7 linked regions of the Sus scrofa genome follow. The protein of the gene in region 4 interacts with the protein of the main gene of each other region in a pairwise test. Links are inferred from orthologs where the notes say so. Each region holds a gene or a part of one and is shown on either strand. Other genes may lie near its edges.

Region 1 (4,555 bases), on a different chromosome or scaffold from region 4:
GGTGTAATTTTCATTGATATATGTTCCAGCAAGTGTCAGTTTTTCTTCAACTCCTGCTGACGGCTTGAACTGGCATTAAAAAATATTTATTCAAACTTAAAACCTTGTAAGTTACAGTATGATACAACTTATTAACCTGTGCAGTATTGTCTTTACAACCCATTCAGGTTTGCTTGAATGGATCTGAAGCAGACACCATTTAAGACGGGTGCTGTATAATACAACTTCTATATATGTGGGTCCAGAAAATAAAACTGAGCCTATGTCTTTTAAAAAAAAAAAAAAACATGTTAAGCAGCTTACCCCAGTGGGGATCTTACCAGACATCTCCCCATTTGGTCACTTCTGAGGGAACTCCAATCCTGAGGGAACAGTTAGTAATTGGGAATTGAGTGTTTATAAAATGGGGATAGAAGGTGTAACTGGTGGATCCTGGCCATCCCTCTGTGAGGAGACTTTTGCTTTGCTACAGGGATGGGGGTCTTATTTTATCCCTGCAATCTGAAGCTGCTTCCTTTTCTTAAGTCTTTTATTTTGCTTTTGTAAAGTATTACAAATTCTGGACATGTTTGTAAAGTAATTGCTCAAGATTTGTATAAAATGTTGTTTACAGATCTTTTAATAAACAAAAAATTCCGTGGATCTCTTGGGAGAATCTTAAATGGCTTAAGTTGTAGATTTTTTACTTCAGTTAAATCTATATAGCTAGCACACTTAATTAATGGTAGGTTAAAAGATAATCCTAGGTTCAAGCTTAATAACCGTGGCCGACATTTCCAGGCTCTTGGCAAAGTCTGGGTCGATATTTGCACACCGGACACGGTATAGAGTCCTACCTACCTTATTTAGTCTTCCCCTGCTTAATCAAAGGGAGCTGGAAATAGGTACTGGCAGTATCACGAGTGTTAGGATGCAATGAGAAAGATTGTCCTGTTACCAGAAGCCCTAAAAGCAAAATGATTGGATTTTATACACGTCCTGAAGGCAAAAATCAGTTTTTTAAAAGATGAGGTTAGTGGGCAGTTACCAATCTCGCCCCGGGGGAAGATCAGGTTCCTTTTGTTAGGCACACTCCAGACTCCAAAGCTTCGCAGTTTTCACTGGAGTCTAACGCCCACTTCTAGAGTCTGCGAGAGCTGCACTTATTCCACTTATTCGGTGCAAAGATTCTCAAGGGACGGAGAACAATAGTGCAGATAGAGCAAGGAAGTGAAAAGGGAGAGTAGTTTAACCGAAGACTGGAAGGTTAGGGGAATAAAGCCGAGGTGGGAAACCAGGATCCTTCTCTTCGCTAAATCTTGCAGCGAGTTCCCTCAAAAGTTTTATTAAAGGGTTTCCCCTCCCTCAAAAGTTTTATTAAAGGGTTTCCCCTCCCAGATATCAGCGAGCCGGAGGAAACCAAAAGTCCCAACTCTTCCACTTGGCTGCCAATCGGAGGCAAAAAAGCGCAGCAGGTGGGGACAGGAAATTGAGACGTTCCTGCAGACTCCGGAGCCACACAACATGACGTCACGTCCGACCAAAACAAGAAGGCTGGACAATTTCTAGTTAGCACGCCCTCGGAATTAACTGAGCATGCGCCAAAAGCTATTACGCAAGCGACGTGCTTAGGACAGTGTCGGCGCTGACGATAGACGTGATTACATGTTCGACGTGATTACGTAGGTGTCGGACGTCGGCAACGTGATTATGTTAATATCGGGTGCAGGCCTATTTAAGCGAGCCTGAGCCCGCGCAGACTCAGAGAAGTCAGGCGAGCCCAAGAATGGCGGGCACCGGTTTGGTGGCTGGAGAGGTTGTTGTAGACGCGCTGCCGTATTTTGACCAGGGTTATGAAGCGCCTGGTGTGCGGGAAGCGGTAAGTTCCGGGTGTCTGTGTGACTGACTCAGCGCTCGCGGACACTTCGGGCTGGAAGACTGACCTAACGATGTGCTCCTCTTATTTTGGCCTCTGTTCTCTTTCTTAGGCCGCGGCGTTGGTAGAGGAGGAAACTCGCAGGTACCGACCTACCAAGAACTACTTGAGCTACCTGACAGCCCCAGATTATTCCGCTTTTGAAGTGAGTGTGATATTTTGAGTCCACGTTATAAACCAGGATCCTGTGAATCTTTGTTTTGGATTGAGAGCCTTAGCCACACAAAAGTGAATTTCAGATTCCAGCTTTAACTGTTACTTGCCTAGCCACAGCTTACTCATTGGTATAGGTAGTGTCAGTCAATTGAAAATAGCTGCATGGATAAACTGTCTCCCGGGTTCTTATTCTTAGAGCCACAGAAGGACTTTCTAGGGCTTCGCGAACTGATCTAACAATGCAAAAACGAATGTTAACGTTTTTCCGAGGTAGGTTCACTGCGTAAATTCTCAAAGGGATCCTTTTCTCTTTAAGGTCTACTGCAAAACAAGTGATCTAGGGTTTTTTAAATACACAAAAGCCTAGTTACCTAAGCTTCTGAGAACCACTGGAGGGCGGTCTTTGAACCAAAGTTTAAGTATTTTCTGAATCTGTGAGAATGACTGAAGAGACAAACCGTATCTAAGTAATGCACCCTTTAAATATTTAGAAGTGCATCTGTAATACTATTTAGGGTCTAATCAGCTAAATGAAATGTAAAATATTTCTAAATTAATGGATTCTGTTAGGCATTTTAGTATATACATGTTCCGTTTTTCCCCATATCTGGTAACCATTTATTTACAAAAGAAATCTCTTATAAAAAGCAGTATTTCTATTGAAGTAACATGAAAAAAATATATCGGTTAAGTTTTAAGTAGGAGAGAGATGTTCCTATGGCATCCTGTTTTCCCATGCTTTTTCTAAATGTCACCCAAATGTAGATGTTACAGTATTAAGAACTATGCACAGGAGTTCTTGTCCTGGCTCACGTGGTTAACGAACCTGACTAGTATCCATGAGGGCTTGGGTTCGATCCCTGGCCATGCTCTGTGGGTTAAGGATCCAGTGTTGCCGTAAGCTGTGATGTAGGTCACAGAGGCCACTGGGTCTGCGTTGCTGTGGCATAGGCTGGCAGCTACAGCTCTGATTCAACCCCTAGCCTGGGAACTTCAGCATGCCAAGGCTGTGGCCCTAAAATGACAAAAAAACAAAACAAAAAAAAAACTAGGTACAGTAATAATAAGTCCTTATTAGCCTGATTTCTGAAAATTTCAGATAACTTCATTCAATCACAAACTTTTAAACACTTGAACAGGTTTTCTTTTTTGGTCTCTTGAGTAGAACCTATACTTCTATCTTTATAATTAGTATAGTGATTCTTAATAGTAGGAGCTAATAGTGTACTGAGCTCACTATCTCAGTCCTAAAAGCAGTCCTGTGAATTGTAAACTGTATGTTTTTTATACCAGTTTTTTGGATAGGAAAAGTGCAGCTTACTAACTTCCCCATGATCTTCAAACTGCCTTTGAAGCTGCTCTTTCATTAATTCATTTAACAACTATTTCTGACATTCTTTTTAAGTTATTGGGGAACAGGAGTTTACATTCTAGAGTGTAGAGACGGATCAGAAATTATTAGATTATTGGTAAAGCTACATGGAGAATTAAAGTAATGATGTGATACAGAGTGACTGGGTGACTACTTTAGATAGGATGGTTGAGGAAGGCCTATGTAATCTGAGATGATACTCCATGAGCAGGGATCCTTTTTGTCTTCTTCACTGTATTTTCATCCCTTAGGACAGTGTCTGGCACACAATAGGCACCCAAATATTTGTCAGTTGAATGTATGAAGAGCTCCTAAGGCATTCTGATTTAACGAATGCTTACCATGTGCCATTCATGCCTGGACTTCTTATATGACAGCCCTGTGAGTGTTGGCTCAGTCTTTGGAGAGAGTTGAGTTAAAATTCCAGATCTCTCACTTATTGGCCATGTGAGTTAGGTAAGGGCTTCTATGTTACGTGGCTCAAGGTTGTGTGTGCTGTATTTTTGTAGTTTCTCTCACCTCATTAGTAGTGTTTACTCTTTATCTGTCACTGTGCATAGCCTTCTAGCTAGAATGCCTTAGTGTCTGCAGGAAACAAAATAACCACATTTTCTTAGAGGTGTGTGCAGCTCAGCAGTATTCCAAAAAAAAAAAAAAAAAAAAAAAAAAAAAGGCTTTCTCCAACAAGACATACTTAATGCAGAACTTTTAAACAAGGAATGTGGGCTTCTGGAAGTCCTTTTTAGCTTACTCTTTAGTCTAAACGGAATAGAATGTTGACCAAAACATTGGCCTGAAGAGGTAGAGCTATACCACATTTTTTTTTTAATAGTAAAATTGTTGGAGCAAACAGCAGAACCAGTTCCTTTTGTCCCTTCTTCTAGTCTCCATTCTTTTTTTTCTTTTTAGGTCCTGCACCCACAGCATATGGAAGTTCCCAGGCTAGGGGTCGAATCAGAGCTACAGCTGCCGGCCTACACCACAGCCACAGCAATGCGAGATCCAAGCTACATCTGCGACCTACACCACAGCTTACGGCAACACTGGATCCTTAACCCACTGAGCAAGGCCAGGGATCTACCAGCATCCTCATGGATACTACTCAGGTTCAT
Region 2 (4,518 bases), on a different chromosome or scaffold from region 4:
GAAGCCCCCAGTATCTGGTCTATACCTGCTGAAGGACTAGATAAATCTTTTTTTTTTTTTTTTGTATTTTTGCCATTTCTTGGGCCACTCCCATGGCATATGGAGATTCCCAGGCTAGGGGTCGAATCGGAGCTGTAGCCGCCAGCCTACACCAGAGACACAGCAACGCGGATCCGAGCCGCATCTGCGACCTACACCACAGCTCACGGCAACGCCGGATCCTTAACCCACTGAGCAAGGGCAGGGACAGAACCCACAACCTCATGGTTCCTAGTTGGATTCGTTAACCACTGAGCCACGATGGGAGCTCCAGGACTGGATAAATCTTTAAGAGAATCAAAGGCAGGCAGTTTCCAGGGCCATGCTGGTGGCTCTGCCTTCACAGATCTTTCCAACTGTGCCAAGTAGACACCAGACCAGTTAGCTGGCTTTTAAGAATCAGAGCCACCTGGAATGGAACATGGCCAGGGCAGCTGTTTACTCTGTCAAGAACTCGCTGTTGGAGTTCCTGTCGTGACTCAGCAGAAACGAATCTGACTGGCATCCTTAGGGACAAAGGTTCGATCCATGGCCTCGATCAGTGGGTTGAGGATCCAGTGTTGTCATGGGCTGTGGTATAGGTTGCAGATCTGGTGTTGCTATGGCTGTGGTTGTGGTGTAGGCTACAGCTCCAATTCGACCCCTACCCTTGCATGGGGACCTCCATATGCCGCAGGTGCAGCCCACAAAAGGAAAAAAAAAAAAAAAATCACGCTGTTTCTCAAACAAGAACTGCCTGTTTTCCAGGGAACATCCCCTGCAGGGGGCTATGCTCTGTCTACCTCCTCACTCTCCAGGTACCTGAGGTTTAAGACACCAGTGGGGCAGCCAATTAGAGGCAGTAGAAGAATCTGGCTGGGCAAGCCTGAGCCCTGCACTCCAGCCTCCGCCTCTGGTTCTCTGAAAACACTCTCTCCCCAGGCTTCAATTTCTGTATCTGTAAATGGGAGTAGGGTTGGTCTAAGAGAGCTTCCTGTCCCTCCCAGAGGCCTCCAGACTGGAAGAAAAGTTTTTCGGATCTGGCTCTTACCAGCCACCCCTTGCAGGCTCCTGCTCACCGCGTCCACACAGCTCTGACAGGTCATCTGCACCGCGAACTCTAACTGCAAAGGTAGCAGGAACGGGTCGATAAGAGCTGGGAAATTCCTTCTTGCGTGATTTTGTTTCACTATCTCCCCTATGACCACCCCCAAAGGCCTGGAGTAACGGCGCCCCACGTGATTCCTCCTCAAGCTCCTTCATTATCACTCACGATCATTTCAGGACCAACACCCACCCCCCAACATTAACGCCAAGGGCTCTGTTGGTCTCACATTCCAGTTTCGAGCTGGGGCCCCAGGCCCCAACCCAGGCGTCCGCTCCTTCCCCCATTCTCAAGTTAACGATCACCCCAGACGCCGAGGCTCTGTGCTCTGCGAGGTCCCCACACGAGGCCTCGACCCTCACCATGCAGGCAGTCTCGCGGTCCCTCGAGTCCGATGCCATCCTGGACCCAGGCACCTGCCGAAGGACCCGTTCTGTCCGGGTCGGCAGGCACCAACCCAGAACAGCGCCGCGGGGAGGCGGAGCCCGGGAAGACGCTCCTCGCCCCGCCTCCTGGTGCGCACGCAAACAAGGCACCGCGCCTCCCCACCCACCACCAGGCTGCGGCGGGCATGGGCCGCGCAGGCGCACTTGGGCATCCGGGCCATCGTTGCCTCAGCAACCGCCAGCTCCGCCTGCCGGGCCCGGGATGCCAGCCCTGAGATGGAGCCCAATAAGCCGGAGCCAGAGCTCCAGAGGTTTTACCACAAGTTGCTGCGTCCGCTGTCGCTCTTCCCCCGCAGGGCGACGCACACAGAGTCTGAGAAGCGCCTCCCGAAGGAGGTCCCCATGCTGCTGCCCCTGCCCTTCTCCCGACTGACCGTGGCGTCCCTCTGCCGCCAGGTAACGGAGCGGCTGGCCAGCAGCGGGCTGGAGGCGCGCGCGCCTGCGAAGGTACGACTCTGTTTCACCCAGGTCATCCTGGACGAGCTAAAATGCAGCTGGCAGGAGCCCCCCGCGGAACCTGGTCTGAGCCACTTGGACAATCAGAGGCTGCGGAAGCGGCTCCTGGTCTACGTGCTGCTCAGCAGCGAGCTGCTCTTCGTACGCTCCCTGCACCTTCAGAAGATGCTGTCGACACCTGCAAGTGTCTTCACTGAATCAGCCACGCTCACCCGGTTGGCCGCCAGCCTCGCCAGGGAATGCACAATCTTCCTCACCAGCCCCGACGTCTACCGTGGGCTGCTCGCTGACTTCCGCGCCCTGTTGAAGGAAGAGCAGGCCCAAGCCCGCAGGTCCAGGCTGCGCCCGGGCGGCTCCCCTGAGGCTTTCAGGCTCTGCCCTATCCCGTGGTATGAGAGCCCTAGCTTTGCCCAAGTGCCGAATTTCAACCTCAGCCTGAACGATCTCATCCAGCTCAGCCGCCCGCGAGAGTCTGTCAGTGAGCCTGAACTGGATCCGGTAAAGGAACTGAAGTCCATTCCCCAGCTGAAGAAGAGGAAGCCTCTCCGCTGGCTGTCCTCCGTGCAGAAGAAGAGAGAAAGCAACTTGGGTTCTCCACAGCCTGCGTCCCTGCCTGCGTGCTCTGCGGCTCCCCCCAGCCGGACTCCCGCCCCCTCCCACTTGCCCCTCTCCTTCCAGCTCCAGAGGGGCCAGTCCTTGCCCTCCCTACGTGAGGGCTGGAAGCTAGCAGATGAGTTGGGTCTTCCTCCGCCCTCTCCTCGACCCTTAACCCCGCTGGTCCTGGTTGCAGAGAGCAAACCTGAGCTGGCAGGGGACACAGTGGCTGAGGACCTGAAGCAGATAATGAGGAACATGGAATTGCATCGGACCCGCTGCTCACTGGTGGACTCAGGCCTGCCCCCGCTCCTGGGGGCCCTGACCTACCGCCCTCGCCCAGGACACCACATGGAAGAGCTGCAGAGAATGTTGAAGGGTCTGGAGGAGAATGAAGCGGCTGGGCAGCGCCCCCCCACGCCCCCTCCACTTGAAGCACAACCGGTGACTGTTACTTTGAAGCTAAGAAATCAGGTGGTCCAGGCAGCCGCTGTACAGGTCTCGGGGCGAAACTTTGTGGATTCCTTCCACGTTGACGGGGCCGGAGTCTTGTACAACCACTTGACTGGCGAGCTGGAACCCAGACTTGTCGAGGAAATGGATGTGGACCTCTCTGTCGGCAGTAGCATCAGGGAGATTTACAAGGAGCTGATGAGCCGTGTCTCCAAAGACCACTTCTCTTTCGACCAGGGGCCCCTGGTGGAGCCTGCAGCCATTCAAGACTGGTCGGCCTTCCTGTCCTCAGCCTTTCTAAATCAAGAAAAACAGCGTCGCAGCATCAACACCGAGCTGGCTGGGCTTTATCCCCAGGGAGCCAACACCTTACAGCACCCCCCGGATAAGATGGCCTCCCTCCTGTCACTGCAAGCAGGAAAGAGCTGGGAGAAGCGGTCCCACGGGGCCTTGTGGATGAACTGGTGGAAAACCGCTTTGTCTGTGGACGACTACTTCAGGTATCTCGCCAACCAGGAGACAGATTTCCTCCATGTCATCTTCCACATGTATGAAGAGGAGGTTCCTGCGGAGCCCGTGACCCCTGTGCAAGAGACCCTAAAGATCCAGCTCCCGCCTCCCTTGCTGGAAGAGGACGAACCAGACTTTGTGCCAGGAGAGTGGGATTGGAACACGGTGCTGGCGCACAGGCTAGGACCTAAGAAGAACAACCTGCTGGAAGACTCTCACAAGATCCTGAGCCTGCAGAAGCGTCTGGAGCGGCTGTGGTCCATGCTTGAGGTCCGCGACAAGGACCGGCTGGACATGGCCGTCAAGTACAGCTCCAACGCCCGTCTCAGGCAGCTGCCGTCCCTGGTGAGTGCCTGGGAGCGGGCCTTGCAGCCCATTCAGCTGCGGGAGATCTTGCTCGGGAGACTGGAGTGGTTTGAGCGACAAGCCTCCGACCCTAACCGCTTCTTCCAAAAGACTGCCACGGGCCTGAGTCGCTTCCTGGAGGAGAGTCAGATCCGCAGCCATCTCCACAGGAAGCTCCGTCTAGTGGAGGCTCCTTTGGTTCCGCTCCTGGAGGAGATCGAGTCAGTCTTTGGTGAGCCAGTGACCTTCAAGGGGCGCCGCTACCTGGACAAGATGAAGCAGGACAAAGTGGAGATGCTCTACTGGCTGCAGCAGTGGCGGCGGCTCCGCCACCTGGTCCGGGCCAGGAGGGCCCCCCACCCACCCACCCTGTCCAGGAAGCTCAGCAGCCAGTCTCTACCAGTCCCTGGGAACACTCCCAATGCCCTTTGACCAGGCCAGGTGCCCTCAGAACCCGCCCTCACCGCCATCCACCCAGCAGCTCATCCGGGGCCTCTTGACGGCTTTGAAAGAAACGCTGTCTGGGAGTGCAGGGTTCTGAAAAACGGTACCTCCAACCACCAAGGGACTGAAACTAACACTTTCTTTGAC
Region 3 (4,534 bases), on a different chromosome or scaffold from region 4:
GAATAGAGTGGAGATTGGCCAATGAGTTGCAATTTTAAATAGGTCAGGAAAAATCTGAGAAAGTGACATCTGATTACAGACCAGGTGAGAAAGATATCGATGTCACTGCTCCTCTGAGATCCCCTTCTTCCCTTCTCCACCATCTTTGTGCCACCCATTTCCCACTAGCATGCTTTGTTCCTAGCACCCAGGAATGAATACATATGTATGTGTGTGGGGGGAGGGTGTATTTTTTTTTCTTTTTTCTTTTTTTCCTTTTGCTGTGCCTGTGGTGTGCAAAGCTTTCTGGGTGACAATGCCAGGTCCTTAACCACTAGGCCACCAGGGAACTCCAATGCCTTTATATTTTAAAAAAGCAACTTCGTGTACATTACCACAAGCACCACTCAGGCTGCCCGTCATCCTTTGATGATTTCTTTTTCAGTCTTTCCCTTCAATATGCTTTTCAATTTCACTCATCTCTAATCATGAGTATAAAAATATTGGAGGTGGAAGAACTAGACAGAGAGTCACTCGTTCTCTGGCTTGGCAGACTTCTAGAGTTGCCCTAGTCTCTGATGGCACACTCAGGATGGCGGATGGCGGCTAAGGGTAGCAGAGGAATTCACGCAGTCACTCTAAACGTCAACAGTGTTTTCGGGTAATTTCAGATCCTTCTCCCTCCACTGTGGCCTGCAACATCGGCCAAGTGTTTATATATCCAAGGAAAGGCTACTATCCATTCAGTAAACCAACTTATTTATGATTTAGTAGAAAGAGCCCTGGTCTAGGCCAGAATCTGCCTCCATAACGTGTTTACTGATCATCTGACAATGAGTCAAGCTCCTCCTGGGTACTGGCGATGCCAAGATGATCAAGACTGAACCTTTGCTTTGGAGGCTCTCCTGTTAAACGGAAGATGACAAAGACGGTCTGATACAATGTATCAGGTAAAGTCTATAATAATGCTACCAAAGAACCTTGGGAGTTAGAGGAAGGATTAAGGGTGGAGAAGAGAGCTTCCGAAGGGCATCACAAACAGAATTTGAGCTGGATCCAGAAGGTCACTTGCATTTAAGCTAAAAAGTGAAAACCATCGTTCCCAGGGGAGGGAACCGAATGAGCCAAGGCGCCTTGGGACAGGGACCCTTGCCAAGAGCTGCAAGGGTACACAACCTGGGGCAAGAGGATTAACATTTCCGGGCCTTGGATCAGAAACCTGTGCCAGTCACACCAGGCTCGCGCTTGGGAGACCTAGAAAAGTGCCACGGTGCTTTCGCCAAGCTCCTGCCCGGCCTTTAAGGCAGGCAGCCCTGGGAGGCGCGCGGGACAACGCAAACTCGGCGAACCGGGCGCTCCACGCCTCCATCCCCGACTTGTTGACGTATACACTCCGGCTCCCACAGAAACAGGAACGAAGACCGGAAGAAAGAAAGAAAAAAAAGAAAAGAAAAAAAAAAGCCCGCGGAGGCGGGAGCGTGCGCAGCCCCAGCCTCGCCCGGGTGGCGCGCGGCCCGCGCGGCCACAGTGGTTCCGGGGCTCGCGGCCGGGCGCGCTTCCCGCCGCCTTCCGGCCCCGCGCGGGGAAGCCGAGGCCGCGCTCCCACCTCCCCTCGGCGCAGCCTCGCACCTCCCGCCGCGTCACCGGTTGCCGCTCCAGCTCCTCACCGCCCGGGGTCCGGGCCTGCCCCGCGGTCGGGCCACCTCCGCCCTCTCCGCCGTGACGAATCGGCGCCGGCTGGCAAATGCCCAAATTCGGGGAGTTTTGAGGAACACATGGAGCCTGAAAAAAATCCTTGACTGTACTAAGCACCACCGCGCCCCCTCGAGAAGGTTTATTTTTCTAAAGAGAGTCTGGTGGGGCTTGGAAAGGAATTCAGAAGAGTGTTGAAAGTGCGAGTGCGGAAGCTCCGGACGCGAGGGGCGGGGCGTGCGCGGGACAAAGGGAAGCGAGGCCGGAGCTGCGGGCGCTTTTTCTGCCCGCGGGTGAGTGTTCCCGACTGGGCCGGACTGGGTTGGGAGGGTGCCGAGGCGTGGTGTCCTGGCTTGGCCGGACCCGGAGTTCCCCGGGGTTGCTGGGGTTCAGGCTCGGCCGCGGGGCCGGAGCCAGGGGCCAGTTGCGGCCTCTCCGAGGCCTAGCGGAGCGAGGGTGGGGAAGCAGTCCCATCTGGGGCTCCTTCTTAGCGGCCAGATGCGCCCCTTCCACTAACCCCGCGAAATTGATCAAAGCACCCCTGCCCACTCCTCTTTAGTAGAGTTGCTGCTCAAGTGCATCCTTCACAACAAACCTAAAGGATACGACCTCAGAGGAAGCCCTTGGGGCAAGCCAAGCCCGTGCTCCTCACCCCCAGGAAGGTTGTTTCCCCTTGCTTCAGGCAGCGAGCTGAGGACTCACGATGTGGTTCGGAAACAGACTGGCCTGGGTTTGAAACCCAACTCTGGCGCTTTTTGGCGGTGTGTTTTTGGACAGGTTACTTAAACTCGCTGAGACTCCCTTTTTTTCCTCTGTAAAATGGGAATACACACATCTCGTTGGTAGTTGTGACTGTGAAACCAGATGGTGTAAGTAATAAGCCTGTCCCGGTGTAAGGTATTCAAATATTTATCTAGGGTTTTATGCCAGGCGCCGGATCCAGGGATGGATCCGGTGGTGGACAAATGTACAAGTTCACTCATGGAGTTTAGAGTCTAGCAAAGGAGATCAGTAATTTTAAAGTATTAACAATCAAGTGTGATGTACCAGGGAGTCTGTGGCAGTTATTGTCAGGGCTCCCCACAGCAAGGCCTACTGGACGTTGACAGCCTACCTGAAAGTGAGCAGGGAGGAAATCTGCACCTGACTCAGTAGTTTCCTGCCTGTTCCTTAAGGAGAGAGGGAGATTCCCAGGTCGGGCCATTGAGAAACACCTTTTTTTTTTTTTTTTTTTTTTTCCACACCATGCCTCTTATTCATAATGCTTCAGGAATTCCCTTCAAATGCAAAATAGAAGCAAAAAACTAAAATCATGTTTGTTTCACATAATGTTGGATGAAAGTACTCCAATAGCCATACAAGTTGTTTGCCTTTAAAAAAAAAAAAATGACATGTCTTTGTAGGCACCGTGTGTGATATGTTTTGAGGTAAGGAAGATGCTCGTGTGTGCACGGTCACGCAGTGGGCTGGTAATACCAAGACAAAATTCCTCAAGGATTGAGGCGGGTCCTGGGACTACAATAATGAATTCGATGGTCCCTGTTTCCAGTCTAGCCGTGTGAACAGGTTTAATAGGATACCATAGAGCTGTGTAAATTGGGTAGGAGTGCAGATGAGGAAGCAATTCATTCTGCACGAGTGATTTGTCAGGAAAGCTCCATTGAGGAAGCTACATTTTGAAACGGGCTGAAAGGTTTAATAAAGAGTTTTTTCAGGGAGACTCTCAAAATGTATTCCCAGCAGTTATAAAGCTATTTATCACCGTAAGAGAATGTAAAGTTCATGACCACACCAATTGCCTTTTGCACTGCCTCCCGGAATAAAATATGGCTCCATTTTAATAGAAGTTGTTGTCCCAAAAGGAAGGCAGAGCTGCGGCTGATCTGGTAGGCCTTGTTGAGGTAGGCCCCGATAATACATCACATTCTATTGTCACTATATTTTTATCAATCTGGTTAAGTATTGCCATGGCATCGGCAAATTGTTTTCAATACAAGAGGTGGCTCGGTATCCCAAAAAAAAAAAAACAAAACCTTTTGAGTACATGCCTAATATTACTTTTTAATATCCCCAGTAATTTGTTTTAGTCATTTAATTCTGATCAACCAAATGACCTAAAGGCTAGTAAAAATTTTAAAAAGCTTGATTACTAGAAGATAATGTAATTTTACTAAGAAATACCAATTAAACTACCCTTTTCTTTAGGGAAAAATTCTCTCTTCTGCTTACCGAGTTTTGATTATCTTTTTTTTTCTTTTTTTTTCTTTTTTTTATTTTAGTGTCTCAGATTCATTCTTAAGGAACTGAGAACTTAATCTTCCAAAATGTCAAGTAAGTTTCATTTTTTATATTTATCAATCTATATTAATAAGAGACTAATGCCCTAGCAAATGGGAATTCCAAAATACTCTCATTTTTTTTCTTCAAAACAGGACCATTGGTAGTTTTGTTGCATAGTATTATATCTCAGTTGTTTACAAGAAGTTATTTATTTTCTTTCAAACAGAAAGACCATCTTATGCCCCACCTCCCACCCCAGCTCCTGCAACAGTAAGTTTTAATTTTCTTGTTAATGTAATAGCCAAGTCTGGCCTTGATACAAAAACCCAGATGTCTTCCAGTGACAGTCACTCAGTCATCACAGCAACAGGATGAAAAATTCAGCTAAAAAAAAAAAAACAGCGCTTCCTATTAAATAGAATAACTCTGCATCTTACCTCGAACCAGCCCCAATGTTTAAAGAAACATACTGCTGAAATGCCAACCTCCTATGCTCAGTTCTTTTTTTAATTGGGAATAGGTGACAAGTTTAGCACTTCTTTCTTATTAATCTCTTAAGAGTCTTGAAAGTTAATATGAAATG
Region 4 (3,838 bases):
ACAGGGGGCTGCTCTACCTCCAGAATATACAAAATGTTACACAGTTACAGTATAAACACTGGGGAGGGAGCCCATTCCGCCACCAGCTTATGTCCTTGCCTGGCCTCGGTTTGCCCCAACTTCCCAAGGCCTATTAGAGTGCTGCCCAGTTGTCTAGCTGGACAGGGGGGGACACTTGTGCCCCAAAGTGCCTCTGAATAGAGGATGCATAAGCCCCTCTTAATGAAGGACTGCTTGATGGGGGTGAAGAGGCTACCAGGGAGCCCCTGCTCCCCGAGAAGGGCAGCCTCCTAAATCAACTGTCTTTACCGAGCCTCTGGCTCTTTGTTTTTCTGGAACTATTAATCGTCCAGAGATCAAGACACAGCCCTGGCCAAGACGGCCAGGGGTCTGCACCTATGTGTCTCCCCCCATTAGAGGGGGGGGCTTGTTCCCCTTTCCAGGGGCATTAGCTTGCTAGTCTAGGATGACGACGTGACTGGGAAGGAGGGCAGGGAGGAGGGACAGGGTGGCGGGGACGGGTGGGGGCAGAGCCCCCGGCCCCAGTTCTCCGGTCTTTGCCTGCCAGCCTCAGGCACTTAGACCACCATGATCTTCACCTCGTCGTTGTCGTCAGCCCGGTAGAAAAAGGGGATGCAGGGGTTGCTGCCCAAGCCCAGGCGCTCCTGGGGGTTCTGGATCTCGCGCAGCAGCTGCATGATCTGCTGCGCGGTGGGGTTCTCGGTGAGGGTCTGGCCCAGCAGGGCCTCCCCTTGGGTGGGCTCCACATTGTCCGAGAGGCTCACCTCCAGGAGACCTTGGGAGAGGGAGGGGCAGGCTGGGGAGTGGTGTGCCAGCTCTCCCTGGCCCGCCCGGCCACCCGCCCTCCCCGAGGCTGCTACTCACCACCCTGGTTCTCAGCAGCGCCAAGCTCCTGGGGGGCTGGGGGCGCCACGGTGGGCTCCCCAGCAGGGTTCTGGGCAGCCAGGAATTTGCCTTGCCATTCATTGCGCTCGCCCACCAGGTGTAACACCAGCTCCTGGAGCTCCAGCAGCTTCACCTGGAGGGACAGGCGCTCAGCAACCCCACCCCGGCCCTGGCCCTGGCCCTGGCCCTGCCCGCCCCTCTGCAGAGATGGTCGGGACCCCTACCTTCATTTCCTCTTTGTCCTGAGCCAGCCGGCTAATGTACTCCTCCTTCTCGCGGTGCCGCTCCTTCAGCACCGCCCTCTGGCTCTGATAGAGAGCAATGTACTCTCCTGCAGGGAGCGGGCGGGCGGCAGGGCTCGGATGGTCCAGCACGGCTCCCCCGACCCCCACCGCCACCCCGGGCCCCGGGCTCCCGGCTCACCGATAGTGTCTGTCTCTCCGGACAGCTGGATGCAGCGATGTTCCAGTTCCTCTACCCGCTCCTTCAGATCCACTTTCTCTTGCATGAGTTCAGTAAAGCGGCCCTGTGGCCAGAATGGTAGGGTTGGGGCTCAGCAGCGACCTGCCCGCAGGCTCCTCCCCTCCCGGCCCCCGGTGGGGGCGACTTGCTCACCTGCAGCTTGTCCATGGCCACCTGGAGGGCCTGGTGGGTCTCCACAGGCACACTGTCCCCCCCGGTCCCGGGGGCTGACACACTGTCCCCCTCGGTCCCGGGGGCTGGGGCCTCCTTCTCCACCCCATCTTGGGCTGGAGCTACCAGGTGAGCCAGGCGCTGGCAGCGAAGCTTCTGCTCCTTCAGCTCCCTTCGGAGTCGTGCCTGCTCTTCCTCGGCACTGGCTAAGGCCGAGTTAAAAAATTCCACCTGCAGGCAAAAGGTGTGCATGTGTTTTTTTGGGGGGGCCATGCTCATGGCACATAGAAGTTCCTGGGCCAGGGATGTAAGCCTCGCCAGACAGTGACAAGGTCGGATACTTAACCACTAGGCCACCAGGGAACTCCGTGCGTTGGGAGGGGCACTCAGGACCAGCAGGGAGACTATGACAGTGGCTCCCAAGGGAGTTCGGGGTCCAGAGGAGTCAGAGGGAGGGAAACGAAGAAGAGCAGGTACAAGACGAAAGCGGGGGTGAGATGGGCAAGGAAGGGGAGCTCAGCTCACCACGGCCTCTCGGCTATCCAGCTCCTCTGGCACACTCAGCTTTGGCCGGGGAGCTTCCCCGGCCTTGTCCTCGTCCTCAATGTCCAGCTCAGTTCCTGGAGGGGGGCAGCCAGAGGGTCCTCAGACAATCCGGCCAGAGAGATGGAGCAGGCCGGGAGGAAAGCTCGGGGCCCAGCTCTGCCTCCCACCTCTCAGTGCAGCCCTGGGCCAGCCGTCGCCAGAGGGAAAGGATCCGTTGTTGTAAAGGCCTCCTCTAACTCAGTTCTCGGCTGCTTCCACGCCCCCCACCCCCTCCCCGGGCCATGCCACTTGCCTTCCCCAGGCACAGCCATGAGGGTCAGCTGGGCCTGTAGCTGCTGGTTATGCTGGTTGGCAGCTTCCAGGCGCCCCTACGAGGCCAGGAAAGAGAGTGAGCAACATGGAGTGCAGGCCTCCCTGCCTCGCGGCCCAGCACTCCAAGTCCCTGACCTGGGCCTCCTGTAACTCTTGCCGGGCTGTCTCCACCGCCATCCTGCCCTGCATGTCCTCGTGCTGCAGCTGGTCCACGAGCTGGGTCTGCAGTACCATCTGCTTGTGCAGCAGCTCCTTCTCGGCGGCCAGCTGCTGGTAGGCGGCCACATACTGCTGTAGGTGGCCCAGGTACTGGTCTCGCTGCTGCTGCAGATCCTGCGCCTCTTGGCTCTTGACCTCCACCTGTGGGAAGACCCTGGGAGTGAGGGCAGGTGGTGGCTTGCTTCCGGATTCTGGGCCCGTAGCCTGCGGAAGTCGGGGCTCTGCTGGCTGCCCAGGTCCCTGGCTTCCTTGCTCCAGGGCCTAAGTGACTGCCACCTTCACCCAGCCTCACCCTCATCACAAGCTTCTTTCCATCTGAACTTCAGGCCACAGGCTGGTGGAACAGCAGAGAGCAGCAGCCAACATCGGCGAAGTACACACTGCATGCCCAACACTTTACATGCGGGATTCTCGTTTACCCCTCAACACCTCTATGAGGAAAACACTAACCTTCTTTTAGCTATGCCTGAGGCACACAGAAGTTCCTGGGCCAGGGATCGAACCCAAGCCACAGCAGTAACCCACACCACAGAAGTGCCAATGACAGGTCCTTAACTGCTAGGCCGCCAGGGAACTCCCTGACCTCCTTTTAAGTTAAGGAAACTGAGGCTCAGAGATGTGAGGGCTGACCCCAAGCAGCTAGCAACCGTACACCTTCTCCTCGCCTCTAATTCGGGGCTCAATGCCTCTAGTGGGGATGATGACCTAAGGCCCAGGGCTACTCAACTCCGCAAGCCAGAGGCCAGGGGGGGCAAGAGGCAGTCACAGGCTCTGAAGGACTCTGGGGTCACCTGGCCTGGCTCTGGCCCCGGCCCCACCCTCCCCGGAGGCTGCTGCCCATCTCGGAGCCCTTCCGGCTGGGGTAGGGGTTACCGTCTCCTTCAGCTCTCCCAGGTTCTCCTGCAGCTGGCCCAGCTTCTTGGCCAGCTCCTTCTTGACATGCTGCTCCGAATGCAGCGCGCTGGTAATCTCCATGTTCTCGTTGGACTGCACAGAGAGGAGCAATCAACTAAGCTGGAGCCCGGCTCAGGGACCAGCGGCAGCAGGCGGGTAAGCCCTGCCCCTCCCCAGCCCCCTCTGCGCAGGGCCCTCTGGCTCACAGGTGGCCTTCGTGGGCCCCATTTCACTCAAGGGCCATACCACCCATTTCACAGGTGGGGAAACAAAGACCCAGAAGGATGAAAGGTCTCGCCCCCGCCCCAAAGGACCTGGCCAGGGAGGG
Region 5 (4,395 bases), on a different chromosome or scaffold from region 4:
TTATTATTATGCTAATATGTGCTTGTAAAAAAGAATCAAAATGTTACATTAGAGCTTAAGTTAGTCATTAATATATTTGAATGAATCCAGAAATTTTCTGTGATATAAAACTGCAGTTTTTACACAACTAAGTATGCATACTCTAATAACATTCATACCGTTCAGCAGCTTGCTTTTTAAGGCCTTTTTAAAGCTTTGATATCTTTCTGTAAGTGATGTCATTCTTTCAAATTAACCTTTATTTGCTGAATTTTTTTTTTTTTGGTTTTGTTATGCTTTCATACATTCTATAATTGCTACACTGTACAATGACTTTTTTTTCCACTGAGCAGCATATATCCTTGCTAAGACCAGATACTGCTTTTGAGTGCTTTATATAGATTATTAACTCATTTAATCTTTATATCAAAGGTATTTACGATATGTATTATCTCTTAAACTCATTTCACAGATGGAGAAGCTGAAGTGCAGAGGTTAAGTAATTTGTTCAAGGTAATAGCAAATGGTAGAGCTAGGCTTTGAACCCAAAGCAATCTGACTCCTGAATGCTCTTAACCTACAGCATCCTACCTCTGTAATTTGTCATAGACGTGTTCCTCTGCGTTTCATGTCACTGAGCCTCATTCTTTTCAGCGGTTACGTAAGTGCCTGTGCTATAGATGAACTGTAAGTGAACTCTTCCCTGTTGGTGTTTTGACTCCCATGTTTGTCTCCAGCCCTAGGTCTCCAACCACCTCCTTGGTGTGTCCCACATGTGCCAGACTTAAGTTTAAACTGACTCAAAACTGAGTTCCTCATCTTCCCACCTGCACCTTCCCCCTTGTCCCCATCTGAATGGCAATGCCAACACCTACCAGTCACCCAGGATGGAGACAGGAGCCAGACTGTGAGGGAATAAGTGAAGTAAAGTAGATTCTAAAGGAAGTGGAAGGTGTCTAGGTAAGTAGCATAGGGAAAGAGACTTACACAAAACTAAAAGGAGGTGGGCTAGCTTTGGGCATGTGGAAGGAACAGGTGGGAAGAGGGAGGGTGGAGAAGCCAAATTTAGGCTTCTGGGTTCTTAGCTGTTCATCACCAAGGTAACTGGGTTGCTATGGTAACAGCAAAGGCAGCGTGCCTTTTCCAAGAACCTCCTCTGCGGCGGTTACCCTCACACCAGCCAGGCACTTCCACGTGGGGGCGCCGGCTGGGGGTAGGCTTAAGAAGGCGGGAATTGCTGCGGCATTGGCCAATCGAATGGGCTCTGCAGCGAAGGACGCAAAGGCGGGGTCGAAACTTCTTTGAAGTTCGCCAAAGGGCGTTATTAGGCGGGCTCAGGTCCTTTTCCCACCACTTAGGGGCCGAGGAAAGGGGGAGGGCGGGGCTTGGGTGAGGCCCTCAAGAAGGCCCAGCCCTGGTGAAATATGTGAAGCTCCGCCTATTCCTTCTTCTGCTCAATAGGAAGCCAGAGAGTCAATCCGGACAGTTAGGGTTCCCAATGAGTGTCGTCGCCATGCCCCGGGGCGTGACGGGGCCAGCCAATCGGCGGCGGTGGTGGGCGGGCACGGGCGGCAGAGGCGGTGCGGCGGAGGTGGAGCGGGCTCTGCCGCAGGAGGGAAGATGGCGGACGAAGAGAAACTGCCACCCGGCTGGGAGAAGCGCATGAGCCGCAGCTCAGGTGCAGCGGGGGTCGGGGCTGGGGCGGGGCCGTGTGGGCCCATGGAAGCAGGGCTCTAGCTTGTCCCTCGGACGCGGGCGGCCGCTCGATTCCCGTGGGGTCTTGGCTCCTTCGCGTTGTCCCTGGGTAACGGCCCCGGCCCTCCCCGGGGCTGCGAGCCTGAGGAGCTGGGAACCCGAGGAAATTGAGGCAAGGGACTGGGTCGGAGAGGCCCGGCGCGCTGCCTGGGTGGTAGGGGGACAGTGTACCCGCGGCGCTCCCCCAGGCAATGGCCTTGGTCCTGCCGATCTTGCTGACATCTTTCAGCCTAATGCACCTGACATCCGGCGGGGGTGGGGGGGGATGTCTTTGCACCCTGCTGGGCCCAAGGGGCACCCCTGGGGAAGGACACCCCAACACCATGCTCAGGGCGTGGCCCCAGGGTGTTGCTTGGCTTCGAATCCTAAACCTCCTGCTAACGTGCCTGCCATCCACACCGAATTCTGAGTTTGCTATAATGTGAGAATTCAGGTTATCTGCCTGAGAATAGTCTCTGTGCTCGGAGCCGATTAGGGCTTTTCCCCCATAATAATGTTAATAATAGGTCTTATCTCAGTGCCAAGTATTGTGCTAAGGGTGTTAAGTGTGTACTCTGGCCACAACTCTGAGAGGTAGGGTAGTTAATAACACCCAGTTTGCCGGTGAGGAAACCGAGGCCAGAAAACTTAAGAAACTCGCCCATAGTCGTTCATTTCAGGGGCTGGGGGCTGGGTTAGATACCAGTCTAACTCCAGAGCCCCCTGCCCTTGTTACTGTAAACCTCTGAGATGCAGGCCCACCATTTCACTCCCCTGCCTCCATAGCTCATAATCATCATGGTCACAGTAATAATTCCAATTTATTGAACGCCAGGAGCTCTGTCGAGCACTTTGCACTCATCATGATGGACTCTCCACATTAACCCCATGAAGTGTTATATCTTTATTCTCTCACCTTGCCCTCACTTTTCAGATGAGTACACTCAGGTTCAGGGAGATGGAACCCATTGCCAAGGTTTTAGAGGCATTGTTTGGCTCAGCTCTGGCCCACCCTGCTTGCAGCCCTGTGGCTGGGACCTGCAGCAAAAAAGCTGATGCTCTTCTCAGTTCTGGGCCTCCACTCCTGCCATTTCTGCTCAGCTCAACCCTGACAGTCTTCCTCCTGGGTGACATCCAGCCCTTCACGGTCTTGGGCAGAAGTCCTCCATATAACCCAGACAAACTCGGCCCCTGGAATGACAGCCTATCTCTACTGGGTCCTACTTTAAGTTTCTTTCTTTTTTTTCCTTAGATAAGAAGTAGATTTATTGATACAGTGTGGGCCGTCTCAGAAGGTGAGAGCAGCCTGGAAGATGCACATTCTTTAGACAGAATATTATCTCAAAAGGCCAGAGAGTGGCCTCAGGTTTCTTGTTTGCAGCCCTCACTCCATGCTCCTTAGTCTCTGGGTAACATCTGGCCCCCAGTAATGCTGGCCCCTAGTTCTGCTGCACAGTGCACTCCAGAGGGGAAAAGAGCAGAGTTTTGGCATCTGGCACACCTGAGTACAGATCCTGCTATCTCCCCCACCACACCCCACCCCCGGCTTTTATGCCTGGAGCAGAGTAAATACCCAGGGAAGGTTGCTTAGTTTTGTGGTCTATAACATGGAGATATTAGTAGCTGCCACAGTCTTTTTTTTTTTTTTTTTTTTTTGTCTTTTTAGGGCCATACCCATGGCATATGGAAGTTCCCTGGCTTGGGGTCAAATTGGAGCTACAGCTGCTAGCCTATGCCACAGCCACAGCAATGCTATATCTGACCCACATTTGTGACCTACACCACAGCTCACGGCACCGCTGGATCCTTAACCCACTGAGCGAGGCCAGGGATCAAGTTCTCATGGATGCTAGTCTGCTTCATTAGCGCTGAGCTATGACGGGAACTCCTCCTACACTCTTAATTAAGTGTGCCAGGTGCTGTCCTAAGTACTTTGCAGATGTGAATTCATACAGTCACTCCTTCAGGCAGGTACTGTCCTTATTTTCATTTTATAGGCGAGAAAACCACGGCCCCGGGAAGGTAGATCACATGTGAGGGTGTGGTGGAGCCACAGATTTGGACCGGCCTTGCTGAATGCATGCTTGGAACCATTCTCTGTCCCTGAGGCTTCCTCTCTTCCTAACCTTCAGTTATTTTCCCCCTTGAACTTTTTTTTTTTTTTTTTTTTTTTTTGGTGGTGAAAGAAAGTGTAGCATTTATTGTAAGGCAGTACAAGTAGTCTGAGACTAGCTAGTGCTCAAAAATCCTGCACTCCCCCCTTGACCTTATTAATGACTGAAGTTGTAAGGTGGTCTCATTTGCTTCTTTGGTGTCTGTGTCCCCAGCTAGAATGCTAGCTCCCTAAGGCCTGGTGGCACTGGGGACTTGCTGAATGAAAGGTAGTTCGTCAGCCAGCCCCTGATCATGGCTTCCCAGTGGTGTCCTGTGAGCAGGTCCCAGCTGAATTCCACTTCCACCTCTTCCAGGCCGGGTGTACTACTTCAATCACATCACTAATGCCAGCCAGTGGGAGCGGCCAAGTGGCAACAGCAGTGGCGGCAGCAAAAATGGACAAGGAGAGCCCACCAGGGTCCGCTGTTCGCATCTGCTGGTCAAGCACAGCCAGTCCCGGCGGCCCTCATCCTGGCGGCAGGAGAAGATCACCCGGACTAAGGAGGAGGCTCTGGAGCTGATCAACGG
Region 6 (2,684 bases), on a different chromosome or scaffold from region 4:
TGCACTTGAATACGCCCCAAATACCATTTTTATTCTTTTAAGTTAGACTTACTTAAATACTGTCTAGAATCAAGATATAGTATTACAGTATTTGATTCCCCAAAATGTCAAAACTCATTTGGCCAAAACTTAAAAACCAAACACTTCCTCTTTTTCCCTTACTGGTTGGACCAATGTGATCAATATAACTGTGTGTGTATATATATATTAATCTACCATAACATTTTCATTCATTAGCATTTTATCTTAACATACCAAGCCTAGCATGCAATTTCCTTGCAAAGGCTTCCCCCCATAAGACATAAGCACAAAACACTAGGCAGACACTCTCCAAAGTTTTATTTCACTAACTTCAGGTCAAATTTCCACAACTGTTTTCTGGTCAATTTCCTATCCTTGCTTGGCTTCCCAAAATGGTAGTACCAAAAGACTTGTGGGGTAGGGAGAAGAGACCATTTGAAGAAGCACTGCATTTACTCATCTTCCACAAGGCAGTAGATTTGGACATCTGATTGTTCAACAAAACAAAGCTTTAACAGCATCCAGGAGGGCAGGCAGGCAAACCAGGCTGTAGACACTCTTCCATTTGTCAAAATCAGAAGGAGAAAACCTACTCCACACAAATAGAAAAGGTATCGTGGTTCATCTCTTCTTTTTCTGTTGCCGCAACATTTTTCTTCTTTTAATTATCATATCGTGTAGTTTCTCAAGTCCTTCCTTTAGTCCATCGCCTATGATTGCACAGGTGGGCTGCAAATGCCAGGGAGTTGAGGAGCTTAGTTCACCCATTGCTAATAATTTTTCAATTTCTGAGAGAGACAATGAGTTCCTCAGGTCTTGCTTGTTAGCTACTATAAGCACAGGGACTCCTTGATTTTCTGATATCCTAGTTATTTTATGAAGTTCAGTTTTGGCTTCTTCCATCCTTTCAACATCAACAGAGTCCACAACAAACACAATGCCATCTGTGCATCTGGTGTATGATTTCCACAGTGGCCTTAATTTCTCCTGACCACCTACATCCCAGAAGTGAAAAGTGACTGTTTTAGAATTTCCCAAAGTTACCTTAATTTTTTCAGTGTTAAATCCTTTGGTAGGTACAGTATTTACAAACTCATTGAATTGAAGCCTGTACAATACAGTTGTCTTTCCAGCACAGTCCAAACCCAGAATGACGATGTGGAAGGACTGAAAGGAAGGCAGGCTGGACAGGATAGAAGTCTGGTCTGACAGTCCATTCCCCATTTCCAGCTGCAAAGAAGTGTTCCAAATTCAAATGCTTTCTTCTTACTGCTTTGGTTCTCTTCCTAGGGGATACAGCTACCAAGCTGCTGAGGGGGGAAATGAATAAGTTACTCTTGTGAAATAATTTACTACAACTGTTTTCCTCTCTTCTTGCTAAATAAGCAACACGAGGAACTTGATAAATGAAACTTGTTGCCATAAACATACCAAATGAGATAAGAAATGTACGCAATCCGACGCAGACGACAGAAAAATCGATGCCACTGAAATTCTTTAACATTCACTGAAATTGCAGTAATACGTAGTTTTCTCTACTCCCCCCGGGGTCCTTAGACCTCAAAGATCTCATTCCGGAGACAACCTAGTCACCAGCATGCGGGACAAGTCGCAGTAGCCATAGAAGTGGTTTTTTTGGAAGAAAATTTGCATCACGTAATCGATTGATCTTTAGTATCTAATTCCATATGCCTAACAACATACCCACGGTCACAGTTAACCCAAGCCGCTCCCAACCCCCTACGTAAAACACAATGTTCTCACCTCCCAAATTGGAGTCGGGGTCCAAACGAGAAAGCATTGGTAGGCTTTGCTACGCTGGGGCAGAGAAGGACCCCACGTCCGCCCAGCTTAGCGCTCTCCGCAGCTCTGGCGGTTGTCGCACTAGAAACCCTGGATTCAGGCTCCAACCACGCCCACGCCTCACGGCCCACCCCTGAGCCCAAGCCCCATTGGTCACTTGCGTCAGCGCGTCCCTACCACGCCCGCCCCCGCTCCCTAATTGGTACGAGTCACTGCCGCTCCTAGAGCGGTGGAGCCAGGCTCTCTCTCGGTCCACAAGCACCACCTGTTGCCCTCAAGTTAGAAAACAGTACGCCTACGGAGGGAGCCGAGCGGCCCCTGCAGGGGAGGGGGAGCCTCGGCCGGTCGGGTCCCCGCCATCCCTCTCGCTCCGCCCGTCCCGGCGCACCTGCGGCGCTGCCCTTGGACGCAGGTCCACGATTCTCACATCCGGGGCCCGCGGTCACCGCCGGCGCGTTAACCCTTTGTCCGCTGGCCGGAGGCCGCCCCCTGCGGACCCGCCGGCCCCTGGGCATGAAGGATCGGGCTTGCGACACTCGCCAGAGCAGGTCCGCTCCTCCCCAGCACTACCCGTTCACCTCGCCCCTCAGCAGCCGGCAGGCTCGGCTCCCTCGGCAGGGCGTGGCCACACAGCTGCCTGCCCTGCAGCGGCTCACCTGACTAACCGTCCTTCCCTCGTCCGACAGCCACGTAGGATCGCGTAGATGCCAGCAGGAGGGCCCCAGCGAGGGCTGGGCGGTGGCCGGGGACAAGACGCCGCTTCCCGGGGCGCTGGCCGGGCGCCGGGCTGCCTTAACGGTGCTCGGCCTACCGCACCCGGCGTCGGCCGGGGCCCCGCCCCCTTCTATCTCTCTCTGGGG
Region 7 (4,501 bases), on a different chromosome or scaffold from region 4:
TGATGGTAAAAGAAAGGTGATAATATTTGAAAAATAGGGTTTGTGTAAAGCTCACTTTGTCTTTCCTCATTCGTTGAAACTCACCCAGATAAGCATTCCTTCACTAATTGAATTTTAACTCTCCCATAAGAAACATGGGCTAAACCATTAAAATTGCCAAAACTCCAGAGGCCACCGAGGATAAACACTTATTCAACGAAATGTTTTACTATTTAAGAAACTCTTTTATACCATGATTGTCAGAGATTTTCAGTTTCAATGTACCTTTCATCAGGCCTCCTGTTTGATGGATTCTTTTTACTTTGCTTTTATTATTATTAACCTCTAGATGCTAGATAACTAGCAATTCTCGTCTGAAGAGGAAAGGCCTGTGTTAAGAATCCAGCAGGAGGAGTTCCCGTCGTTGCACAGTGGTTAACGAATCTGACTAGGAACCATGAGGTTGCGGGTTCGGCCCTGCCCTTGCTCAGTGGGTTAACGATCCCGAGTTGCCCTGAGCTGTGGTGTAGGTTGCAGACGCGGCTCGGATCCCGCGTTGCTGTGGCTCTGGCGTAGGCTGGTGGCTACAGCTCCGATTGGACCCCTAGCCTGGGAACCTCCATATGCCGTGGGAGTGGCCCAAGAAATAGCAAAAAGACTAAAAAAAAAAAAAAAAAAAAAAATCTAGCAGGAGAGCGGGCTGTACTTCAAATCTTGCCGTTCTAAGGTTGTATCTTTTTTTTTTAATTTCAGTAAAATCATGTTTTGTATCTTTTTTTTTTAATTTCAGTAAAATCATGTTTTGCTTTGAACATATATATTTTATATGTATGTGCATTTTAATTCCCACTTATTTAACATGTGTTTTGTAGTGATAATTTCGAATATTCACATTTTTCTTTCCTGTTATTACTTTGACAGTATGTTTTTACAGGACTTGACTACGATTTTCTCTAATGTCTTTACATTAATCTTTGATAGTGAAAGTACTTTGTAGCAAACTAACAGAGAAAAAATATGGGCTTTAGTGTTAGGCAGACGTAGACTTGAATCTTGGCTCTCAAAATTTTGTTGTTGTTGCTGGGCAATGACCCAATTATCCAAACTCTCAAAGCCTGTTTGCATTTGGTTTTTGGTCTGTAATAGGAAAATGTTGATACCTCACAGGCCTGCTGTGGATATTAAATGAAATAAAAAGCAGAGAAAGTAAACTTTAGTACCTTGTAGATGATAAACATGTAAGATGTTTGCTATTCCAGTTTTCAGGTTTAATCTTTATTCATCCCACTAAAAAAGGGGAATAAGGCCACACCCACTTCAAGGGATGCTCCTAGAATTAGAGACCCGACCAGAAAAGCCAGAGCGATTTGCAAACCTTAGCTCGAAACCCATAACAAATGCTTGCATATGCTCACACTGCTGTTCTTTCCTAATATAATATGACCTATCTAATTTTGAACATAACGTACTTTTCATTCTAATAAACCAAAGTCCACATCGCTGCTGCCCTCCCACGGCGTCGCCTAGTCTCTCTCGCGAGACTCCGCCCTCCGGTTTTCCTCTGGGGATGCGGGAGGCGGAATGGCCGCGCTCGCAGTGACGTGTTTATCCTGAGCGTCTGACGTCACTGCCAGGCGCCCTGTAGCACGTTGGCCGGGCCTTCGGCGGGCTTTTCGGGGACCAAGATGTCTATGGCCAGCGATTTCTACCTGCGCTACTACGTAGGACACAAGGGCAAGTTTGGACACGAGTTTCTGGAGTTCGAGTTTCGGCCGGACGGTGAGTTGAGCCGCTCCTGAGCGGTGCTGAGCTGGGGGAAGCGAGGCGGAGAGGCCGCGGAGGAGGCGGTGTGGGGAGGGCGAGCCTCCGCGGGCTTGGCGAGAGTGCGTTGGGGCTGAGGAGCTTAAGAATATCGGAGAGTATATTGGTTTTGTGAGTAAAAGGTAACTAATCGGTGTAAGTTATTTCAGAAAAGTCTATACTGCCAGATACTAAAATGGAACCTACAGTAATCAGAATCCTAGAATCTGCTCACCAGAAGGGACCTTAAAGGCCATCCAATTAATCGACCTAATACTCGAACGTTTTATGAGAACATCCCCGCCACGCGGTGGGCCTGTGGATGCTTAAATCTTGCGGTGAACAGTAACTTTCGAACTACCCATGCGTCCGTTTTATTCATTCATGCGCTGTATGTAAGGCAGCATGAATAGAAAAAAAAAAAATCTGCTGTTCAGAACTGGAAGCGGGACATGTAAAAGAAATGAGTGTAACGATGTATTCTGGGTGCTTAAATATAGTTGTTCCATGTAGCATGCGTTGAAACTCCAAAAACGGGGGAGTGGTTAGTTCTGGATGAAAGAGTCGGGTCATCTTTAGAGAAGGTGACAGTTGAGATGAGTCTCAAAATGAGAGTAGATATTGTCTTGGACGCTGAGGGAAAATAAAGGAGTCGGACTCCTGAGAGCTGCAGGAGCCGGTGAAAGTGCCTGCTGCCCAAGTAATGGCAGCAATTTACATCTTTTGACAGCTCTGATTCTCTTTAGATAGTTGTACTGTATATAGAACTCTTACTGTAACAAGAACAGTCTTGTTAAAAGCGGCATAGGCTTTTCTTTTTAGAGTGCATGTTATGTGCTGGGCAACATGTAAAAACAAAAATTGAGGTTATATTAATGCGTCGGGTTCTTTAATTCCCCTCAAGGAATTAAATCTTGCTGAGTGACACAAACGTGAAACTAATCATAAGGCAGTTCTGATGGTAAGTGCTGTGCTCATGCTTTGGACAAAGTTCTGTGAAAGCGCAAAAGAAAAATTAGGGGAGGATCACATATTAGAAAAATGAGAGAATATCAGATATTTTAGGTAGAAGTCAGGGTAGCTACATCTAATTATTTAGAAACCTTAATTACCTTAGTCTCCCTCATTCTACCCAAGTCTTTTCTAAATTTAGCTAAGGGGCCAGATTTACCTGAATTCTTCATCTGTATTTTTGGGTTTTTTTTGTTTTGTTTTGTTTTGTTTTTGTTTTTTTGTCTTTTTAGGGCCGAACCTGGCGTATGGAGGTTCCCAGGTAGGGGTCTAATCAGAGCCGTAGCCGCTGCCCTATGCCAGAGCCACAGCAACACCAGATCCTGGCCGCGTCTGCAACCTACGCCACAGCTCATGGCAACACGGGATCCTTAACCCACTGAGCAAGGCCAGGGATTGAACCCACAACCTCATGGCTCCTAGTCTGATTTGTTTCTGCTGCACCACGAAGGAAATGCCTTCATCTGTTCTTTATGTGATATTGTTTTCAGGACTTTTGCCTGTGAACAACTATCAGTGTGTCTGTATCACTTTTAGCCAGTCACATAAATTAGGTAGTCTAATATTATCAGGGAAATTTCATTCCAGGACAATAGCTCTCATCTGCCACCCCACCATTCCACATACTTCTGTCAGTAATAATGAGTCCTATAAACAATGATTCCTAAGGGACCTCATCAGGGTAACCTATCATTCTAGAGGATAAAGATCGCAGTACATCTTGGAGTTCCCCTCCTGGCTCAGCAGAATCAAATCTGACTGGTATCCATGTGGGTGCAGGATCAATCCTGGCCTCACTCAATGGGTTAAGGATCTGGCATTGCTGAGGCTGTGGTGTAGGCCAGAGGCTACAGCTCTGATTCGACCCTAGCGTGGGAATTCTGTATGCTGCAGATTCGGTCCTAAATAGACAAAAAAAAAAAAAAGTTAACAGTACACCTGTACCTGGGCAACTGACTGAGGAGAGGCATGCCTCAAGGAGTACACCTAAATTTGTATATATCAGCTAACAAAACGGCCAGTTTTATCCAGAAGCTGCACATAGTTGGTATTCTTCTTTACCATAGTTCTAAAATATTAGCATTGCCATAATACATACACACATTCATTTGAAGGAAAATAATTAAAAGAACAGTGGGGAAAGCATGAGTATTAAGAAGGTATATCTAGATTTGAATCTTGTGTGACCCTGGGCAAGTTATTTAACTCCCTGTTTTCTCAACTGTGAATAAAGAATAAAACCTACTTTTTATTTATTTTTTTTCAGATTAGGTTAAATGCTCTGGGTAAATAACTTAGCAAAAATAAGACATATAAACTTAGAAGAAATATTAGTTCCATTTTCAGATTCCCTGTTGAGATCGTGATATAGATTAAGAAAATGGGCCTTGAAAATGACCCTCCCATTGTATAATTATAATTGAAGGCATGAATTTAAAAAGTTGCCTGGCTTCAACTTAGCCAACATATATCCAGCATTAATCTTATGCTAGGAGGTAGGAAATATTAATACAAGTAATAGTATAAAATGGTTTCTACCTTCAAAATTGCTTATAGTGTCATTATTTTATTTTTTAGCAGTTTTTGCTATTTAGATTGAATTTTTTTCCACTCCCCACAGGAAAACTTAGATACGCCAACAACAGCAATTATAAAAATGATGTCATGATCAGAAAGGAGGTAAGTTCTTTTCAAATGTTTCATTTTTTTT

What was found.
Region 1: the proteins of GOLGA2 (region 4) and BCAS2 interact in binary tests that used the Homo sapiens proteins (3 or more experiments, as listed by UniProt). The two-hybrid records come from large-scale screens. The link is inferred for Sus scrofa from reciprocal best matches to the Homo sapiens genes GOLGA2 and BCAS2.
Region 2: the proteins of GOLGA2 (region 4) and CCDC87 interact in binary tests that used the Homo sapiens proteins (3 or more experiments, as listed by UniProt). The two-hybrid records come from large-scale screens. The link is inferred for Sus scrofa from reciprocal best matches to the Homo sapiens genes GOLGA2 and CCDC87.
Region 3: the proteins of GOLGA2 (region 4) and SMARCE1 interact in binary tests that used the Homo sapiens proteins (3 or more experiments, as listed by UniProt). The two-hybrid records come from large-scale screens. The link is inferred for Sus scrofa from reciprocal best matches to the Homo sapiens genes GOLGA2 and SMARCE1.
Region 5: the proteins of GOLGA2 (region 4) and PIN1 interact in binary tests that used the Homo sapiens proteins (3 or more experiments, as listed by UniProt). The two-hybrid records come from large-scale screens. The link is inferred for Sus scrofa from reciprocal best matches to the Homo sapiens genes GOLGA2 and PIN1.
Region 6: the proteins of GOLGA2 (region 4) and ARL4A interact in binary tests that used the Homo sapiens proteins (3 or more experiments, as listed by UniProt). The two-hybrid records come from large-scale screens. The link is inferred for Sus scrofa from reciprocal best matches to the Homo sapiens genes GOLGA2 and ARL4A.
Region 7: the proteins of GOLGA2 (region 4) and MAGOHB interact in binary tests that used the Homo sapiens proteins (3 or more experiments, as listed by UniProt). The two-hybrid records come from large-scale screens. The link is inferred for Sus scrofa from reciprocal best matches to the Homo sapiens genes GOLGA2 and MAGOHB.

What each region holds. Positions count from the first base shown.
Region 1 is NC_010446.5:105,990,886-105,995,440, forward strand, and holds the start of BCAS2 (pre-mRNA-splicing factor SPF27), read left to right. Parts: upstream 1-1,672; 5' UTR 1,673-1,765; coding exon 1,766-1,858; intron 1,859-1,967; coding exon 1,968-2,060; intron 2,061-4,555. UniProt on the Homo sapiens protein: Required for pre-mRNA splicing as component of the activated spliceosome. Component of the PRP19-CDC5L complex that forms an integral part of the spliceosome and is required for activating pre-mRNA splicing.
Region 2 is NC_010444.4:5,831,737-5,836,254, forward strand, and holds the start of CCDC87 (coiled-coil domain-containing protein 87), read left to right. Parts: upstream 1-1,694; 5' UTR 1,695-1,785; coding exon 1,786-4,359; 3' UTR 4,360-4,518. UniProt on the Homo sapiens protein: Plays a role in spermatogenesis, where it is important for normal sperm head morphology. Also required for the acrosome reaction and thus normal male fertility.
Region 3 is NC_010454.4:21,782,947-21,787,480, forward strand, and holds the start of SMARCE1 (SWI/SNF-related matrix-associated actin-dependent regulator of chromatin subfamily E member 1), read left to right. Parts: upstream 1-1,463; 5' UTR 1,464-1,964; intron 1,965-3,950; 5' UTR 3,951-3,995; coding exon 3,996-4,002; intron 4,003-4,177; coding exon 4,178-4,221; intron 4,222-4,534. UniProt on the Homo sapiens protein: Involved in transcriptional activation and repression of select genes by chromatin remodeling (alteration of DNA-nucleosome topology).
Region 4 is NC_010443.5:268,703,009-268,706,846, forward strand, and holds part of GOLGA2 (golgin subfamily A member 2), read right to left. Parts: intron 3,604-3,838; coding exon 3,490-3,603; intron 2,758-3,489; coding exon 2,533-2,757; intron 2,454-2,532; coding exon 2,378-2,453; intron 2,160-2,377; coding exon 2,065-2,159; intron 1,771-2,064; coding exon 1,522-1,770; intron 1,433-1,521; coding exon 1,330-1,432; intron 1,238-1,329; coding exon 1,131-1,237; intron 1,040-1,130; coding exon 886-1,039; intron 797-885; coding exon 579-796; 3' UTR 1-578. UniProt on the Homo sapiens protein: Peripheral membrane component of the cis-Golgi stack that acts as a membrane skeleton that maintains the structure of the Golgi apparatus, and as a vesicle thether that facilitates vesicle fusion to the Golgi membrane.
Region 5 is NC_010444.4:68,714,354-68,718,748, forward strand, and holds the start of PIN1 (peptidyl-prolyl cis-trans isomerase NIMA-interacting 1), read left to right. Parts: upstream 1-1,544; 5' UTR 1,545-1,599; coding exon 1,600-1,657; intron 1,658-4,181; coding exon 4,182-4,394; intron 4,395-4,395. UniProt on the Homo sapiens protein: Peptidyl-prolyl cis/trans isomerase (PPIase) that binds to and isomerizes specific phosphorylated Ser/Thr-Pro (pSer/Thr-Pro) motifs.
Region 6 is NC_010451.4:82,225,258-82,227,941, reverse strand, and holds ARL4A (ADP-ribosylation factor-like protein 4A), read right to left. Parts: upstream 1,246-2,684; coding exon 643-1,245; downstream 1-642. UniProt on the Homo sapiens protein: Small GTP-binding protein which cycles between an inactive GDP-bound and an active GTP-bound form, and the rate of cycling is regulated by guanine nucleotide exchange factors (GEF) and GTPase-activating proteins (GAP).
Region 7 is NC_010447.5:61,424,224-61,428,724, forward strand, and holds the start of MAGOHB (protein mago nashi homolog 2), read left to right. Parts: upstream 1-1,475; 5' UTR 1,476-1,664; coding exon 1,665-1,758; intron 1,759-2,683; exon of another isoform or gene 2,684-2,740; intron 2,741-4,411; coding exon 4,412-4,470; intron 4,471-4,501. UniProt on the Homo sapiens protein: Required for pre-mRNA splicing as component of the spliceosome. Plays a redundant role with MAGOH in the exon junction complex and in the nonsense-mediated decay (NMD) pathway.